Linked DNA regions of Danio rerio. The protein of the gene in region 1 interacts with the protein of each later gene in a pairwise test. Links are inferred from orthologs where the notes say so. Each region holds a gene or a part of one and is shown on either strand. Other genes may lie near its edges. The genes, in order: topbp1 and cip2a.

What was found.
Region 2: the proteins of topbp1 (region 1) and cip2a interact in a two-hybrid assay, tested with the Homo sapiens proteins (2 studies listed by BioGRID). The link is inferred for Danio rerio from reciprocal best matches to the Homo sapiens genes TOPBP1 and CIP2A.

What each region holds. Positions count from the first base shown.
Region 1 is NC_133199.1:10,074,682-10,078,512, forward strand, and holds part of topbp1 (DNA topoisomerase 2-binding protein 1), read left to right. Parts: intron 1-375; coding exon 376-499; intron 500-2,302; coding exon 2,303-2,467; intron 2,468-2,561; coding exon 2,562-2,658; intron 2,659-2,891; coding exon 2,892-3,087; intron 3,088-3,831. UniProt on the Homo sapiens protein: Scaffold protein that acts as a key protein-protein adapter in DNA replication and DNA repair. Composed of multiple BRCT domains, which specifically recognize and bind phosphorylated proteins, bringing proteins together into functional combinations.
Region 2 is NC_133199.1:29,181,248-29,185,078, reverse strand, and holds part of cip2a (protein CIP2A), read right to left. Parts: intron 1,753-3,831; coding exon 1,658-1,752; intron 912-1,657; coding exon 815-911; intron 729-814; coding exon 606-728; intron 472-605; coding exon 326-471; intron 252-325; coding exon 176-251; intron 1-175.

The DNA.
Region 1 (3,831 bases):
ATTTGGTAAACAAAATTCTCTCATATAATAGATCTACTAAAAGACAAAATATGACTTTACAATCTGTATTGTAAAGCAATCATATGAACATTTTAATATTACTATTATTACATCTCAATAATATTAGTGAAATCAATTTAAACACTGGATTAATATAAATGTACACACATTTATACAAGTAAATAAATAGACTAAATGATGGCCTAAAAATATGCAGAAATCTGTGGATTTCTGTGCGCTCAGATTCTGTGTGGCCTAGTCATAAGTTACTGAGAAGGTAATAAATCAACAAAAAATCTAATTGGCAGCTAAGATGCTGGTATTATGTGTTTTAGGATAAAGCAATGGGGTCTAATGTCATGCTCTCTGTTTCAGATGGTCTTGTGACGACTCGGTCACTCATTACATCTACCAGGGGAAAGTGGGAGACAACAGTAAAGAATACAGAGCTGTCAAAGAGAGAGGACTCTATATAGTTTCACAACACTGGCTACAGGCTGTAAGTATATGAAGTTACCTAATGAGTAGATATACATTAAGCATTCATTAGAGTTTAAAAACAAAACTTAAAGCATTGCCTCATTGTTACACAATGTCAAAATGTATTTGCATTTTCAAATATACAAATAATTTCAGTTACTTTCTTACTCCCAGGGCCATTTTAAATCGAAATTGATATTTAGCCGCACCATGTTGGTGTTTCGTTACATCTAATCTTTTTTATGAGGTGGGAAGATTAGGACATACACATACACACTGCAGACAATTTAGCTTAGCCAATTCACCTACAGCGCATGTCTTTGGACTTGTGGGGGAAATCGGAGCACCTGGAGGAAACCCACACAAACACGGGGAGAACATGCAAACTCCACACAGAAATACCAGCTGACCCAGCTGAGGTTTAAACCAGCGAGCTTCTTGCTGTGAGGTAGAGGTCTGCATTATAAATATAAATAAATATAAATAATCAATATTATTATTATTATTCATTTCCGAAAAGAAAACGGGAAGGGTCGGGCAGCGGGACAACAAATACTTAATATATGCGGGAGCGGTCGGGTTCGGGCTAAAACCTGGCAGGAGCGGGATTCAAAATATTGTCCCGCGCAGATCTCTACTGTGAGGCGATAGCGCTTCCCACTGCACCACCATGTAATAAAAACAGTTGTTTGTTACAAAGTATTTAATTCAGATATTGCTATTATTAAAGATACATTTTGAGCATTTGATGATGGGAAAATGCACCAAAATTTTCAAAATGTATTCTGAATAGAATGACAACGATCTAAAAAAAATAGCACGTACAATTCAATATCAAAACCATTAAATAAACCCCTAATGTTCTATTAACACCATAGAAAGAGGACACGTACCACAATACAACAGGTGTACATGACTGTAAGCTGACAAATTGACTGTTGGAGCTCCTGTTTGGCCATTTCAAGATTTTTTTCTGTGCTTACCAGTTATTATATGTATGTAAATGACTACACCATGCTAAAATATTCATTTGCTGTGAAAGATTTTGAGAAATAAATGACGAAGTAAATGATGAAAAAAAAAAGTAAGTAAAAGCTGAGAAGCTCTTAAATAAGTTAAATTTAGAAGCTCAAGACATAATCTTTAAACTAAAAACTTTTATTAAAATGTTGACAGTGGTTTGTGATATAAGAACTGCCACAGAGAATTAATTTTGATTTGATGATTGATTCAATGATTGATTTGAGGTAGCCTGCTATTTTTATTTGATGGAAGTAAAAATAGCCTATGCTGGTTTAAAAGGATTCACGAAGTGTTTTCGTTTTGTAATCTACATTTGCAATTTAAGTGAAAAATATCTAGTGCAGGCATTTATTTTTAGCCTTTTATTTTGTTTAATATTTTTTCTGTGCTGTTGGAAACACTGCAGGTGCTTTGAGATGTTCTGTTGATAATATGTTCGCATGTTAAAATAAATCAGTATTTTAAAATGCAATATTTAACGTGTCAGACACAAAATAGACACGTCAATTATTTTTTAAAATTAAATAATAATTTAATATTAATCTGACCACTTAATCATTAATATTGGGTTAACGAGTGGTGGTTGTTGGTTTGCAAAATTAACCGAAATGAGTATTTCTAGTTTCTTTTATCCTTGTTTATGTAAACCATTTTGAATTACTATTGTGTTTGAAATGTGCTACTGTATATAAATAAACTTGCCTTGCCTAATAATGGACATTAAAAATTGAAAGTAAATAATTTAACAGTAGTGCAAAGCTGGGGAATTCATTACATTCACTCACCATTCCTTTTTCAGTGTGCAGATGAGCAGAAGCATGTGTCGGAGTCGCTCTACCCTTTTACATTCAACCCTAAAATGAGCCTCACCATGAGTCAGATGGCAGATTCCACTCAGAGATCACCTCCTTCTGCCACCCCCCGCACCAGACTGAGAGCTTTCGCTGAGAATGAGGAGACCAGGGTGACCATTCATAACTTTACCACCAATCAATCCCAGCTTATCAAGTTTTTATTAAAGGTTATATCTTGTATATATTTATTCTTTATTTCTAAAGTTGGGCCCTGATGATGACATCACCGACGTCTCAACTCCTAAGCAAGGCAGTGTGGGAGAGCCTGAGAAAGATCAAACCATCAGCACCGAGAAGAAAAGCAAGTCATCTTTAAAGACATGTCTTTGATTTATTTATTATACATCTCTCTCTCTCTCTCTCTCTCTCTCTCTCTCTCTCTCTCTCTCTCTCTCTCTCTCTCTCTCTTTCTCTCTCTCTCTCTCTCTCTCTCTCTCTCTCTCTCTCTCTCTCTCTCTCTCTCTCTCTCTCTCTCTCACTGATCTTAAGTTAATTGACTCTTCCTTTAATTTTCTTATATTGTGCCTCCCTCAGATCTCACGGAAACACTGGAGATGAGGGAAAGTCTTCAAAGGCAGCTTCAGGAGATCATGTCTGCCACTAAACTAACCAGCGGTCGTCGAGGCTCCTCGCGGTTGGCCAAAACAGGCCCAGGGGGGCTGGACTCTCCCCACACCCCGGACAGCCTGGGGCGGATGAGCAGACGCAGTCGCAATTTAGAGGCCATACGGTATAAAAACAAGACTACACAGAATACTGTTTGATTCTCTTATTGTCTCAAAGCTTTTACCACTTGAGAGTATACATTGCATTTTCTGGTTGTTCACTTGAGAATTTAGACAGACAATGATTTTGATGATTTCTGTTGATGTGCATCAGATGCAAGGACTTAAGTCTTTTAATTTTTCAAAACTACATTTTAGGCCTTACAAAGTCTTAGGGCTCTAGTTTAACAATCTAGGCACACGGCGCATAAGCATTTACGGTGTGTCCGTGGTGGACTTTGTAAGTGGAAACCTGACTGCTTCACTAGCGATAAAACAGTTAATCAAACCTTATTCACCGCGAGGATAAAGAATGAGCCTCCTTTCATTTTCTTTCTCTTTACTTTTACTCTCTCTCTTCGTGGAAAGGAAACAGTGTTGTACGCTTTCCACTGAAGACATTCTTTAGCCTACATATTTAATTTTGTTTGTTAAGAACAAAGATTTGTTTTAAAACTATTTCTAAATTCAGGTCTAATTTCAGTCAAAAAACTTGAGTTATATCCTAACACATGTCCTATTCTTATGCCCCGTATGGTGATGCATACGTCTCCAAAACCAGTCAGGTGGACAAATCTAAACTTGTTTTTATAAAAAAATATAAACATGCATATAATAATTAAAACTGTTAATAATAATAGCATTATATAAATGCAAACTGTCATGAACAAACGGAAAAAAAGTCTTTTGCCTATTGCGCAAGGTGTACG
Region 2 (3,831 bases), about 19 Mb from region 1:
TTGTTTGTTGTGATTAGATTAGAATTTCATAGCAATACAGTTAAGTAAACATCAAGTGACAGCTAATGGGGTAAAGACCTGCTAATTGACTCTTGTATATACAAAAGCTTGAAAATACATAAATATTGCCTACAAATGTATTGATTATTTCTACAAACTGTATTATGCATTTCACCTTTGACGCAGTATCCGGATCTTTGCTGTGCAGCAACCCGAGAACCTCAGACAGACAAACCGAGAGGTGTTTATACCTAGTGTTGAGAAAGATACAAATAAGTTTCCGAAATAAGAAACGCATTTCAAACAAAAACTCTCACAAACATACTTAGTCAAGTAATCAGCAATTTTGGGGTTCTTCAGGAGATCCACTAACAAGTCCACAGCATAATTCCTGGTTAACGTGCCATCTCCGTTGACCGTGATATTAAAAATTAGCTGGAAAGTCTGATGAATGTTCTTTGCATTAAAGAGCTGCAAAAACAGAGATACAACCTCAATACCACACATGGAAACAACAACAGGGGCCACTTAAAAGTTTCCAGCCACAGGACCAGATGACAAAAAGATACAAAGCAAACGACCTACAAATAAGCATCCTGACTCACCTTCTGCCCAACCTCTTCGTTAAGAGTCAAACTTGATAAAATGGACAGCGCAAAGACAACTACTGTCAGACAGTTATGACCCAGGAAATTAATCAAGGCTCTGTAAAACGCCTTCACATTACTCTGCAAAAAAAGGCGATAATATTAATCATCTAAACTTCTAAGTTCACATTGAGAGTGTGGGAGTGAGAGTTGATGTTGATTTTCACCTGTGATTTGATGTGTGCCTGCACTGTTACGTCATGTCGACAGAGGTTGGCCACCAGGCCCAGACAGGCCTTTACAATGTCATCATTACTGGACTGGCTAGGGACAAACATAAGCATTAGATATTAGATATTTATTAAAACACTTTTTCAGCATTTCTTTTAAAATTATTTGAATATAATAAAAAAAGATGTATTTTTTTCATGTACAATCACAATTTGTATTTTACTTGCCAGCTATTAGCCCTCGCCATTAAAATTACAGAACAAGTTTCGTGGTTTTCCACCCCCCCCTAACCACCCCCACCCCCCACACACCCCCCACACACACACACACACACACACACACACACAGCCCTTACTTCCTCTGCAATACCTAAAAGTTTTTCTCAGACAAGACACCACAGAACAGTTTTGCATACAAATTAACAACTAGTTTCAGTATTAATTCATACACTTTAAGTATTCATTTATACATCTCAACGCCAGTTAAGATATTTTTAAAAGCCTCAAATGCTATTTATTTGATCAAAAATACTGGAATAAAATTGTAATACTATATCAAAGTATTATTATACAAAATAAAATAGGTTTTTAAATTATTCTTGTGTTAGCAATGTTGAATTTCTTTTCATCATTAGCACCCACAACACTTAAAGTATTTAAAGAATACAGAATAATATATTTACTTGAATCAGAACAGTGTTGTTACATTATAACTGTTCTACTAGAATTTTAGATCAATATTCTACACTATCAATATGAAGTCTGCTGCGCTCAAAAGTGCCTGATTCATCCACATCATACAAACATCTGCAAGAAAAGAGGGAATGTTGTGGCTCTTACACATGTTGCATTAAGAAGCTGATGAGTTCGTGAATGTGAGAGGCGCAATGCAGAGTCCTCACGTTGTAAGTCAGTCGTTGCAGGACATTGAGGCACTGTGGAGACCATTAGAAATATTATACACACGACCACAACAACAAATAGATTTTAATAACTTCTATCATCTTTATATTTGATGTTTTTGAAGTAAATTAAATGATTATGACATCACTGACAACCTCACTAACCTTCTACAGAGTTCTCTATTGACTAAAGAGCTGTAGATCTTATAGACTTGCCGTGTAAATGTTATGCTACATGACACTGATTTTCAGAGCATCAAAATTTGTTTAATCTTCTGATAAACTGGGCAGCTTTTGAATATGAGACTGTTTCTTGTAAAAGTATCAAAACACAAAGTCTCTCGCCAAAAACAGTTGCTTTTTTGTAATCTTTTGGATACCATGAATATATCAACATATATGATTACCATCATGTAAGGTAACCCCTTCATAAAATGTATTTATATAATATAGTGTCTTGTAAGACTCACGTTCTAATACTCGTATATAGGTTCTAAATATTTTATAGAAATTATTTAAATTCTGTGAAGTTACATTATTGCATTTTTACTCATTATAGTGCAGGATTTAATCATTTACATATTTATTTGAAATTTTTAATAATCAAATGTTCACTCACTAAATTAAATTAAATTAAATTGTTCATTTCTTTTCGGCTTAGTCCCTCGATTAATAAGGGGTCGCCACAACGGAATGAACCGCCAACTTATCCAGCAAATGTTTTACGCAGCAGATGCCCTTCCAGCTGCAACCCATCACTGGAAAACATTTAAACACTTTCATACACACACAAACACAACAGACGATTTAGCTTACTCAATTCACACATACTGCATGCCTTGGGACTTGTGGTAAAAACAGTAGCACACAGAGGAAACCCACGTGAACACGGGGAGAACATGCAAACTCCACACAGAAATGCCAACTGACCCAGCTGAGGCTCAAACCAGTGACCTTCTTGCAGTGAGGTGACAGCCCTACCCAAAAAGTCAGCAGGCCGCCATTTAATTACATTAAATTAGCTTAAATGTTACATATTTATTGTCGAAGTATTTGTGATGTTTACATTAAATACAACATATGAAAACAAACAACATAATAGTGAATAAAAATAAATAAAAACACAAGGAAAAAATTACAATATATTTAATAATCAACATTTTAGGATAAACAATGATAATAAACAGTATATTTAACATTTTATGATTCATTTATAACAATTTAGAATTCATTTAAAAGCCAACATCAAAAGACTAAAGTTTGTATCTAAAATTAAGGCACTGTGGTCATTGCCATTAATCAACAACAAAATACTCGATTAAATTTTAAGGCTGAAATTAGAATACATGTACTTGAGAATAACTAAAATACTATATAAAAATTTTATTATAAGGCTATGTATTTTATGCTGATGTATAGCGTTTCTAATTTAGGGGTGTCCAAACTCGGTCCAGGAGGGCCAGTATCCTGTAGATTTTAGCTCCAACTTGCCTCAACACACCTGCAAGGATGTTTCTAGATAGCCTTGATTAGCTGGCTTAGGTGTGTTTGATTAGGGTTGGAACTCTCCAGAATACCAGCCCTTCAGGACCGAGTTTGGACACCCCAATAGTACACAAGTGTTACAATCTGTTTTTGTTTTTTTTGTTTTTTTGTTTTTAACACTGTAAACTGAATCAAACCAAAAACCATGACCAGATATTGTGAACCGCCCCACCACTAATTAATATAAATATTATTTTTAGCAATTTAATACTTGATTTATTTGAATTATTTGTAACTTTTTAAAAATATTTTTATTTTCACTCAGTTTAAAACCCCTCGACTAAAAGATTGATTTTGGGATTTAAGAATCAATATTGCTTCATTAAAATAAGGATATATTCAATTTGAGGTTTAAAATTAACTTCCTAACATGCCGTGTTTAAAACAACACTATGGCTGCATCCGAAACCGCATACTTCCATACTATATAGTACGCTAAAATCAGTATGTAAGCCGAGTAGTATGTCCGAATTCATAGAATTACTACTTCTGGCGAGATTCTGGAGTGAGCATCCCATGCATGCTGCGCTATCCCATGATGCCCCGCGAGCGAATTCATGAATGGGA